Linked DNA regions of Drosophila melanogaster. The protein of the gene in region 2 interacts with the protein of the main gene of each other region in a pairwise test. Each region holds a gene or a part of one and is shown on either strand. Other genes may lie near its edges. The genes, in order: Cpr60D, Tim17b2, IM33 and CG17107.

Region 1 (3,119 bases), on a different chromosome or scaffold from region 2:
TGGATCGCCTGCGTCAAGCGGGCTGTGTGATCACCACTAGTGAGAGCGTTATCTTCGACTTGGTTCGAGATAAGAACAACCCCAAGTTCGATGTGGTCCGGAAATTGGTGAACCAGCCGTCGGTGGATATGGAACTCACGCGCAACGGGAGCGGAGTGCCAGCGGGCAGTGCCAAGCTGTGAGATAGCCCCTCCTGTCTAAATATCTGTTTGTTATAAAGCCAATTGCATTTATAAAACCATCATGCAGAATTGTGCTTTTCAAGGATACGCGGATGGGAAATGGGCCGAATGGGCCGAATGGGAGCAGCACCCATTTAAGTTGTCATTTCCGTAACATATTCCAATGGCCCCGCACAATGGGCGAGTCCATATTTGAATTTGCCGTTTAACAATAGCCCCAATGGCTTCCCTTCCGGTGAGTTCCCCCACTTTGCCCCATTTCCGCTGGGTTCCTTATTATGCGGATGACAATGCGTATTTTATGCCGCCTGTCGGCATTGATTATAAAGCTGAGTGCTGTTCGGTAACCTTTTATTTGTGCAGCAGTGTGGGATGAGGAAATCATCATCATTCCACATGACCCATTCAGGGGCTCTGTAAGCGCAATGTCTAATTGGACAGACCCTTGGATGAAGATGCTGAAGCGCTCTATGAACTGTAGCCCAACAGCTCTCAATATGAGTTCTACCAGGGGAACGTTTTATTGGAACAACAAGACATTACCTCACCACTCATTTTATGGAAAAAACCGCCGTTTTATAAGTTAAGATTAACATAACATCAAAGTCACTCGGTCACTCTTCAACCTTCGGATGGAAGCCGGTTGCATCTGCGGTGTAAGTCACGCGAATTTGCTTGCCATCTTCGCCGGGAAGGAAGTATTCGCCCTGGATGCCGTTCACATTGCCTTGAGCTTTCACTTGGATCCCATTGCTGACCGTGATCTCATGCTGGAACTGCCCAGCTCCATCCAGGTTCTGGCGGTTCTCCGACTTCAGAAGTTGCGCCTGCAGATCCTCCTCACTGCAGCTGGCCAAAACGACGAAAAGGGCAAAGATAAGGCTCTGAAATTGAGAGGTGGCTGATTATCCAATAGTCTGTTTGAAATCCGATTAAACTCACATATTTCAGCATTTTGGAGCAGCTTCTTGAAATGAAACAATGCCCGTCGGCCTTTTATACTATACTCCGAAGCTGCCTAGCCCACTAAACGGGTTTCAATCGCATCTGCTAATGAAATGACTGAGATTAACCAGACAGCCATGAATATGAAATTTGCGGCTACTCAATCGAGTCTGCTTCTGGCACCAGAAGCAGGCCAGCCTCCCCCAACTAATTGATTGCGATTTTGTTAACCCATTTTGCTACTAAAAGAACATTTAATCATCAACAATGAATTTGAAAACTATGCGCCCGCGGCCTTCGGAAGGATTTCTTGTGCAGGCTTGGAATCCCAGTCTCTATACCTAATTTCTGGATTGCTCAGAATCTTGGCCACACCCTTCAGAAAGCTTGGCTTACTGATAGTGGTTTTTCTCACAGAATCGTTGCTTTTCTTTTCCAAGGCATGCGGTATAAGTGAGGAAAAATTTAGAGATGCCTCGTTAGTAAGTGTCCCATCTGAGGATTCAATTGGCAAGAGAGACATCCCCTTATTTCGCTTGTTGTTGAACTTCTCGAGATATTTCTTGGCACCCAAACGGGCGGATGTCTTTAAAGCATTCATATCCCAGGACACTCCCAGCTTGGATTTGATCTCCTCGGAGGCAGTCTTGTCGTTCGAAGAGAACAGCGTTTGGAACATCTTCTTCAGCTCGAGGTCCTTGGGATCTTGTAGCGATCGGACTGCCCGCGGATCAATCTGCCCAATGGAATTGTCTTGGCTTTTGGTTTCCGCCTCCCGCTTGGAATCCTTGTTCAGCTCAACTAAGTCGTTTAACGACAATTTGGGGTCCAAGTTCCCTTGCAGCTGCTGGAAATCCATTTCGGGCGCATCCTTCGGCAGGTAGCCGCGGCTTTTCAGGTAAACTAGCGGCGACTGCCAGTTGTCGATGAGGTTCTTAACAATGGTGTCAACCGAATTCTCATACTTAACTACTTTTAAATTGCGATCAGCTGCAGCACTATAAAATAGACAGATGTATAAGATTAAAGAAATCATTTTAATTTAAATTGTGAGCCTGTTATCGATGACTTTGTGAAACGGCTACACTATCGATATAAATTGTTATTGACAGCTACGTCTCAGCAGCCCTGGATCTAAATCAGCTGTTGTGTTGTAAGCAAACGTAAAATTAACAAAATCCTACAATTATTTTGTTTTTTATTGAATTTCATAGCCTTTCAGGTTTTTGGTTGATCGCACAGGACTGCAACGCTATTATGGTCATCACCAACAACACAACACTGCCCGAGGAGTCGGAGCTGAACGTCCAGGAGCTAAATCTATCGTCGGCGGCCTTACGGGCAGGCGCCTTCCATTTGGGCAAGCAATGCGAGCAGGCCAATAATGTTAGTACATCCAGATTGCAGGGGAATCCTCCTGATAGTAATGCTTAGGTGAAAAGCGCCTTAAAGTGAAGCTGGGAGCCGCTGCCTCTTTAAAATCCGAGCGGCTTAGTTATATAACCTAACCTCAAAAAGCACCTTCCCCGTTTGTTTACCTTTTCCTTCGTGTAATTTCAGGAGTTTATGCTGTGCCGGCAGGAGCTGGATGACCCGCGAGCCTGTTTGGCGGAGGGCAAAGCCGTGACCAGCTGCGCCCTGGACTTCTTCCGCAAGGTGAAGAAGACCTGCCATGAGGAGTTCACGCAGTACGCCACCTGCCTGGATAAGAGCAGCGGTACTATGGCTTTTTCACAGTAAGCACTCCGTAAATGTTGAATATTCCAATCATGCTATACCAATGTCCATCCATACTTTAGTTGCCGCAAGACCCAGGGAGTGTTCGACAAGTGTATCAAAGATAACTTCGACTGGGATCGTCCCTCCTATGGATACTTCTCGAGGGCCAAGGTAATTTCTCGGCATGCTTTATTTAGACCTCTCCTAATCACTTCTGTTTTCAGGTCATCCAATCAGCTCGGGAAGCACCCAAGAAGGAGGAGAAGGTCTCCT
Region 2 (3,299 bases):
ACTGGTTTCTTAGAGTGCATTAAACTACCGCATTTATGATCGACATCGGAATACGAGTAATCACAGTCAGGGCACAGGACACAACAATAGTGCACCATTCGAGATTTTTCAGCATTTCTTTTTTTTTTTTGGCGGCAGGCCCGGGGTCCTACCTGAGTCACATCCTTTGTCGACTCAGGCCTGCCCTTTGATTTTGAATTTTTGAATTTCATTGCCCGGCTGGAGGCTGTCGGAATTTGAATTGGACTGCTGGGGTAATGCAACCGCAATTGTTTCGCCCCCTTTGTTCTGGCTGGCGTTTTGGCATGTGCAGGGATTCTCTTCGAGCGGGCAAATGAGTTCCGTTCTGGATTCCCTTTGTAGTGGGTTATGCAGATGCATATTCCTTAAGATATAACAAAATGTTGCATCACAGCTGCCCAAACACTGGCCTCTAACGGAGCATTCGGAGATCGGAAGATGGAAAACGGAACCGTTTTAGAGATCATATCTGTTCGATATTATAATTTTTGAGTTTTTACTGTTTACATAATCATTATTGTTTTAAAAAACATTGCCACAATAGATTACCAAACCTGCATTTCTGTAGCGTACATTGTGGAGCTCGATTTACAGTTGTAGAATGCTGTTCTTAAAATTTTGAATATGGTTTTAAATTGTTCTGTATCCAAAGACAACTGCAGTTTTTTTAATTTCACATAATACGTTGGTATTTTAACAACAAATAATGTTAATAAAATTACTAAATGGGCTAGTAGGCCAATTCCATTTGGCCTGTGACTTCCCAGAAAACTGTAAGGCTCGAATCTCCGGAATTCGTGGGAAACCCATGGTCGGATCGCGTCCTAGAACGGAATGGCCAATCCTTTCGCATAATGTGCCCACATTAACACCACATCGATCTAATCCCATCTAAATCATTTATAAGCGACAACAATTACCGTGGAAATGAAGATTTCATTGGAAATCCCGCAGCAGTGGCAAACAATATGCCCAGTATTTACATTTACAAATTATATATAATGTCTTATCCTGCAGCCATTTCCCGTCAAATGATCCCCGATAACCTTCTCGGGAGTGAGAGCAATCAATCGAGTGCAACACGTTCTAACGATTTACATGTCAAGTTGACGAGATTTGTCCTGTTGAACAATGGACTGGCGCTTCGTGTGTGTCCAGGTGTCCCCTCATACTTAAATGCCTGCCCATCGATTTCGGTTTCGATCGGGGTTTCGCTTTCATTTGTCACTGCTGTCTGACACCTTGTTATGCGGAGATATCCATCGAGGGCCCGAATGCGAAGACTTCCCCCTTTTTCGAGCTAAGCAAACACAGTTGCGGCAGTTTCAAAATTTCGATTATGCTCGCGTGATAATTATGCATGCAATCGTAAGCTTCCCTCCTGAAGTAGTTTGACATACGCAGTATAAAATAGTATTGGGTCTGGAGTTCTGGTTTGGTTCGGCTTGGCTTTATCGGTCGACGACAATCGGTCTCATTGTTTCCGTTTCCCACCGTCTGGCTTTGCCTTTGTACGAATTGCGTCTTTCGAATGGCCCCATCCCCATCCCAATCCGAATCCCAATCCCCCGTCCCCTCCCCATTCTCGAGCCGAAGTTGTCCAGCTGCGGCAGTAAATTTTATGGTTAACTACGGTCCGACATTTGTGCTATTTAACCTTTTTGTGCCATTGAGCTTCGGGGCAAAAGATCCCCGATCCACGTGCGACTCTGTTTGCTCTGACTCTGGTTCATATGCTAATGGGTGTCTGGTGGGGGCACAAACAAAACCAAGTACTTCTTACTTACAACCTGTAGTTTGAAATTTGAGTTCCTGGACATGTTCTCCATGATTTTAAATCTACTAGGTATGTAGCAAGCTTAGTCGCACAATTCACAACAAACTCTGGAATTGACAGACACAAAACTCATAATTTCCTTATACATATCGAGCGACGCCAAGTCACATATAACTCATTTGTAGAAAATAAGCAGAAGGCTTGAAATTTAGCAAATTCAGTTTTTAATTTCGGCCAGTGATAGGAAATCCTGCCAGTGGAAAAGTGCAAAGATGGAGGAGTATTCGCGGGAACCGTGTCCCCATCGCATCGTCGACGACTGCGGAGGAGCCTTTATCATGGGCTGCGTTGGAGGCGGGCTCTTCCAGGGACTCAAGGGATTCCGGAACGCACCACAGGGACTAGGACGCAGGGTCGCCGGCAGTGTGGCTGCCATCAAGACCAAATCTCCGGTGATAGGTGGAAGTTTCGCCGCCTGGGGTGCAGTGTTCAGCATTGTGGACTGCAGTCTGGTCCACTTTCGCCAAAAGGAGGATCCCTGGAACTCGATAGTGAGCGGAGCAGTTACTGGTGGAATTCTGGCCTCACGCAATGGAGCGGCGGCCATGGCTGGAAGTGCAATTATCGGTGGCGTACTGCTCTCAATGATCGAGGGCTTAGGCATATTTTTTACACGTTTCGCGGCGGAACAGTTCCGAAATCGTGAACCGCATATCATGCCTGATGCCAATGAAGGATACGGTGACTTCAACTCTTCCGGATTTGGATTTCCGGGTGCTCAGCAGGCCACTGCAACTAGCTAAATTCCGATTTTTCTTGTCTGGGTATATTAATACGTAGTCCTTTTTGATTTTCATAAGTGCTAGATTTAGCAATATTCCATTTGAAAAATTCGATGACAATAAAATATGGACAAAATTGCAGTATTTCCATTTAAGCTGTTTTTGCAAAGGAACCAATTTATTAAATTTCAAACAATTTAACACGGATTTATAATTATTAAAATACAATTAGCTGCCGTTTGCAGCTCGTTTTGGAAGAAGGAACAAATGCAATTGGCCCTCTTATCGTTCTCCGTGTTAATTCATTCGTATTCATAATCATTATTGCCTCAACAGGTAGTAGGTTGTTTCACACTTGCCCGAATCCACGACAAAGACACCTGACACGTGTCATAGGTCAGCGTGAGATATTGGCAAATGTTTACCTGTTCCAGATGACTACCTGCGATGCTGCGCCGGCGCATAGAGTCAAGTGTCCGGTCGGCGGGTGTGGCCACTTTACAACCTGTCCACTCGAGATGACCGCGGTGTTCTGGCCATTAGACTGAGTGAGGTACTGAGTGGCACTGGCTACCGGCCACATGTCCTGCTCCTAGCTGGAAAGTCTCGAGCGCACTCAAATCAGAACTTTTCCCCCGCAAGGCAAAAAACCAAAGGCAACGCCGATTTCCCAGCAACACATGGACGGTGGGAAGATGGGAAGTCGAGCCCAGTTATAA
Region 3 (2,682 bases), about 12 Mb from region 2:
ATTAGAATCGCAAACGAGCGATTATTAGGAACATTTCTTAACCAGACAGTTTATTCATTTCTTCTGAAGCTCCAAAGCTTACCCCATTCGTTAGATACACAAAAAACTTCAACCGACAGTTAACCAGTTTATAGGTAATTCAGTTAGATTCCCATTCCGCTCGCTAAACGTGATTTGGCTGACTAAAATTGTCACACCGATACGGAAGCCACTTGGAATATGATTTTATGGCCAGCATTATGATTGACTTGCGTTGGTGCGTTGATCTGCAATTGAAGGTTGGGCCGCGAAAGCTTCTCCGAGAGCTGTCAGTGCCAGGTGATATCGATATGGACGTGGATATAGACGTCAGAGAGGCACCGCCGTGATTTACATGCGGCGACGAATCAGTTGGACAAACAAGCTGGCGCTCCGATAAATGAAGTACACAAAAAGAGGCAAAACGGTGGGCAAAAACCCAGTTGAGTGAGTATAGTAGTACGTGAGTTAATCAGTTCGGACGGATAGTATTTAAGCCGCAATATCCGAGCGAGCCGAAATCATTCGCTCATCATCCACTCAACGGACTCGAAATGTGCTTTAGATATAGCTTCAGTTTCATAGTATTCGCGGCTGTTCTGCTCCTGGCAGCCGGAATTCGTGCAGCTCCCTCGGATGTCGTCGTGGAGAAGGCGGAGGAGCCCGCGGTGGCCAAACCCCTGCCTGATGCCAGTGAGCTCACTGTTCCGGAGGACTGTCATCAGCCCAAGGAAACCGGTCGCTGTTTCGCTCTGTTCTATCGCTACGCCTACAACGTGGATACACAATCCTGCGAGGAGTTCGTTTACGGTGGATGTGCCGGCAACAAGAACAACTTCGAATCCAAGGAGCAGTGCGAACAGGCATGTTTGGTAAAGTCTGCGGTTTCCTCCACGGACTCAACAACCGAACAAAACAGCGAAGTGGCCACAGAAACTAGCACCTCGTCTTAAAAAATTGTAGTTCTTAGTTTGTAATTTATTTGTCATCCAACTTCATCAGCCTTTTAAAAGCATTTCTTTACTGAGTTGATTATTTGAATAATTTGATTATAAATTTTAATAAATATACCATTGTGATTTATATATCTATTTCGTTTTATTCGCACATCTGGTACTAGCAGTACAGTATGTAGATACATTTGTAAGTGTCAGAAGTGGTTAGCAGTACATCTCGGAAAGTCATTAATTTCGAAACCCGACGGACTCACAAAAACTTGAGTCATGAATAGACGATTTTAATTAATCTTGGGAACTAAACAGTGTAAACAGTAATTTTGATAAAATATGACTACTTTTATAATGCACTTATATCGCAAAGATTCTGAAAACGAAATGTATAAATATATTATACAAGCAAAAGAGGAAATAAATGAAATTTGGGAAAAAATCGGACAAACCCACTTCCGAATGACAAATCGCTGCCTAATCGTGTTTACTTTATTCAGAACGTAGTTCCTAGATTTATTTGCTATTCCGGCATTATTTTCAGTACAAACACTAGCACTAGCACATAGTACTCGAAGTCTCGTCTGTTTATATACCAAATTCACGAGCACTCGTTAATGAACCGAAAGTTCATGAGCATATAGATAAGATCCCCAGCCAATATGTAGTTCCCATCTGCCGATCGGCATGGCGTATATAACCTAGTGCTACACCTCCGATTTCCATTAGTCGTTCCACGGAAGCTGGGAGATATACATAGTTTTCAAAATCGCAATCAGTATGAAATTCATTGCTGCCGTCTGTTTGATGTTCGCCCTGGTGGCTGTGGCCCTCGGCCTCAAGGATCGTAAGTTGGGAGCTGCTCAGGAAATCGAAACCATTCTAATTCACATTCTCAATCTATTAGCTATCTGTGGACTGCCCGCTGGTATTGATGGCAATGGTCTCATCAAGTGTGCCGCTTTTATACCCAGCTTCAGTTATCATCCCGAAACCAATTCGTGTGAAAAGTTCATCTACGGCGGATGCGGCGGCAATGAGAACCGATTTGGAACCCAGGAGCTCTGCGAACAAAAGTGCAAGGAATAAATTTGACCTCTATGCTCTACAAAATATTCAATAAATGATTTTCGATAAATAACTTTTTGGACGATTCTTTATAACTTACCTCATTTTACATCACATAAAGAAAAAAACAAGGTTCGTTTTGATCGCACTATCGGGCAAAGTTTAAGTTGCTGAATTAATTAAGAGACTAGAAAAAAGTACACCCAGAAAAATTGAGAATTAACCTTCGATTTCGAGACGAAAACGATCTGAATGTTGATATTTTCAGACGGAAGGGAAAGGTTGAAAAACTGAGAGAGGAAGGCAAATGAGAGCAAAGTCATTTGCAATCTGAGTATGGTGAGCATTATTCAATCTTAGCTAGATTTTGGGGTCGAAATTGTCAAATCGAGATGGTTGAAAACGGATTTTTCTCTGAGTGTCTTTTTTTTATTATATTATAGTAAAAAGAGGGGTTCCAACGAACAACTGAAACATTTAAGTGGAATTTTTAAACACTTACGAAATGGACCTATCAAATGAAATGAAATATTTTACGGAGCTTTCGCCATGGCCGTTGTAAGTATGACACTTCCCGTTGTTCCTATCGATAAGAGAACATATCCATAATTACAACACTTGTTGAGCTCATTGTATATTTCATATGATA
Region 4 (2,677 bases), 4.8 Mb from region 2:
GGCTATAAAACAAACACCAAGCGCTAATTTCCATTTGAACTTGAGCGGCAGTCGCTAAACTGCATGTTGAATATGGTTCGAATGAATGCGGATCGAAGGTTTTGGCGATACGGGTTTTTTTTTTTTTGGCCACTTAACTGGCCTTTATTTACTAAGCCAACTGACTTAGTAAGCTCTAGGTCGTGGGATGTACCGATATCAGGCAGTTAGTCATAAGCTTAACGGGATGAAGAAAAATATATATATTAAGATGGTAACCACAATTGCAGAAATGAAATTAATAGATTAGTTATTTCTATCATAACATTGAAGTAATTTCTCTATCTCTCCATTTTCCTTGCTTATGAATAAATTTATCCTGGACATTTAATGACCCAAATTACTACAGTAGATTGATTTGTAAAACAAAAAGATTCGCAAATATTTCTCACTGTATGCTTGCTACAGTAAGCTCTGGCTATAAAAGCTTCATTCGCAGAAAATAAAAACAACTTCTGTTACAGCCGAAAACTATGCCACTTATATATTTAAGCTCTAGTTAACCATTGTTAACAAGTTAAGTAGACTTATTTTTGCTTTCTTTGTTTCATTATGGAAATTAAGTTGTCATACGAAAAAAAAAAAACACAGGATAGTGGGACATCCCACGATGAAATTATATGCACTCTGCGCTATCCTGCTCCTTGCCATTGTGGCAGTCCAAGGATATCCTGGTATACACGGTGGCTTTGGACACGGAGGACACGGTGGACTCAGTGGCTTGGGAGGACTTGGCGGCTTAGGAGGACGCGTTGGTTTCGGAGGACCCGGTGGCTATGGAGGACCCGGTGGCTACGGAGGACTCGGTGGCTACGGCGGACCCGGTAGCTACGGCGGTGGTGGTGGAGGCGCAGTAGCCACTGCCAACGCTAATGCAAACGCAAACTCAGTTGGTTACAGTCCGGGTGCTTACTACGGATAAGGAATGATGATAACAGCAGTCCAGAAACGGCAATTGCTTTAAAAAATAAACAAATGCATAATTATTGCATAAAGACTAAGACATTTTTCTATTATTACTTTTGCCAAACGTTATCAACACAATGGCCTTACCTTCTATGTATAATATACTATAAATATAAATTTATTAATTTTTAATTATTATTTATTAAGTGAAGAATATATATATAATTTTCGGGTTCAAAAGTTGTAATCACCGGAAAAGGAATTTTGTATAAAATGTGTAAACAGAAGCAAATCTAAGGACTTACATGATAAACTAGTTTTTATAGCTGATTATCATAATGAATTTATCTGAGCTTTTTTACAGCCTGAAAATATACTTTACCAAAACATGGCTTGCCAAAGCTAACCAGTTTTCAATTATTGATAACATAGTATATAAGCATATACTATACATATAGGTAATATTAAACGTCATGCGTTTTTAATATATGTCTAATTAATGTGCTAATCGAAGCCCCCATATATATGCCGATACAATATCGATTCTGTGATTTTTTTTGTTTTTCAGATAAACAAGTCGTCCACCTGTCACGGATGCTGGTATAAAAGAGGCCAGCACGCGATCACAAAACATCGCAATCTCTAACGATGAAGTTCCTGGCTATCTGCATTTTTCTAATCTTCGCCCTGGTGGCCGTTCAGGCACATCCTGGTGGATTCGGCGGATTCGGTGGAGGCGGTGGTGGCGGTGGTCGCGGTGGAGGCGGTGGAGGCGGTGGAGTCGGTGGAGTCGGCGGTTCGAACGCAGTTGCCAACGCGAATGCCGCTGCAACCGCCGACAGCAGAGGAGGCGGCCCAGCTTCCGCCTCGGCCTCGGCCACTGCAACCGCCAACGCCAGCTCCGGAGGAGGTGGAGGTGGACATGGCAGACATGGATAGGCTCGAAACGGATTCATAACTGTACTCTCGAAAAGTGGGCACGTCCGCTGACAGACCTACTAAACTGAAACCAATACCAATACCAATAAATATTAAAATGCTAATTCTGTTTTTGGAAATCCAAGATGTTGTTTTCGTATATTAGGTTAATAACCAGTTTATGAGTCGGGCATTATTTATAGATCTAATGACGTCAAACAAGATTTCTCTAGCCTCCTAAAAACAGACTAAGTTAACAGCGGGAGCTAATATTAGAAACTATGTTTTAAAATGTATCTAACAACTTGAATTACAACTGAAAAGTATGCATTATATATATATAGTTTTTGCAAATAGTTAGTGCATCTCAATTTTAATTTAATTTATTTTTATATTTAAAATCATTAAGCTCATTTCATTCATCATTTGTTTGTACAGCTTACCCGGAAATCCAAACAATTTGTGAGTTTTTTTTTTTTGTGTGATTACTTTTTTTATGTAATTAAGTAATTGCATTTGCCACCCACAACAAGTCTTGAATTTGGCCACTTACGGAGTGACACACTCAATTTCAGCAGGTCTAATAAATCGAAGATATTTTTTCACAAATGAAGTCCGACGTCTCTTGATATATTGTCAAGCTTCTTAAAACTCGGGTTTGCAATATTTAAATTTGCAAATTATCAACATCTGGATAAGTTTCTACGTTTACGGTAGCCAAACCTTTCCGAAATAAAACTAGTTTTATACCCCTTAATCGTACAGTAATAGGGTATGCTAGGCTTATTAGAATGTATGAAACAGATAGAAGGAG

Evidence for each region.
Region 1: the proteins of Tim17b2 (region 2) and Cpr60D interact in a two-hybrid assay, tested with the Drosophila melanogaster proteins (one large-scale study listed by BioGRID).
Region 3: the proteins of Tim17b2 (region 2) and IM33 interact in a two-hybrid assay, tested with the Drosophila melanogaster proteins (one large-scale study listed by BioGRID).
Region 4: the proteins of Tim17b2 (region 2) and CG17107 interact in a two-hybrid assay, tested with the Drosophila melanogaster proteins (one large-scale study listed by BioGRID).

What each region holds. Positions count from the first base shown.
Region 1 is NT_033778.4:24,662,167-24,665,285, forward strand, and holds Cpr60D (cuticular protein 60D), read right to left. Parts: upstream 1,155-3,119; 5' UTR 1,137-1,154; coding exon 1,125-1,136; intron 1,067-1,124; coding exon 797-1,066; 3' UTR 516-796; downstream 1-515. Other genes in the region: CG3663 (uncharacterized protein), read left to right, coding at 1-182; CG30161 (uncharacterized protein), read right to left, coding at 1,408-2,163; ND-19 (NADH dehydrogenase (ubiquinone) 19 kDa subunit), read left to right, coding at 2,385-2,513, 2,688-2,863, 2,927-3,017, 3,071-3,119.
Region 2 is NT_033779.5:15,482,767-15,486,065, forward strand, and holds Tim17b2 (translocase inner membrane 17), read left to right. Parts: upstream 1-1,962; 5' UTR 1,963-2,070; coding exon 2,071-2,601; 3' UTR 2,602-2,779; downstream 2,780-3,299.
Region 3 is NT_033779.5:3,695,662-3,698,343, reverse strand, and holds IM33 (immune induced molecule 33), read left to right. Parts: upstream 1-1,685; 5' UTR 1,686-1,745; coding exon 1,746-1,812; intron 1,813-1,872; coding exon 1,873-2,054; 3' UTR 2,055-2,126; downstream 2,127-2,682. Other genes in the region: CG3604 (uncharacterized protein), read left to right, coding at 573-971.
Region 4 is NT_033779.5:10,680,398-10,683,074, forward strand, and holds CG17107 (uncharacterized protein), read left to right. Parts: upstream 1-1,568; 5' UTR 1,569-1,593; coding exon 1,594-1,884; 3' UTR 1,885-2,131; downstream 2,132-2,677. Other genes in the region: CG17105 (uncharacterized protein), read left to right, coding at 650-961.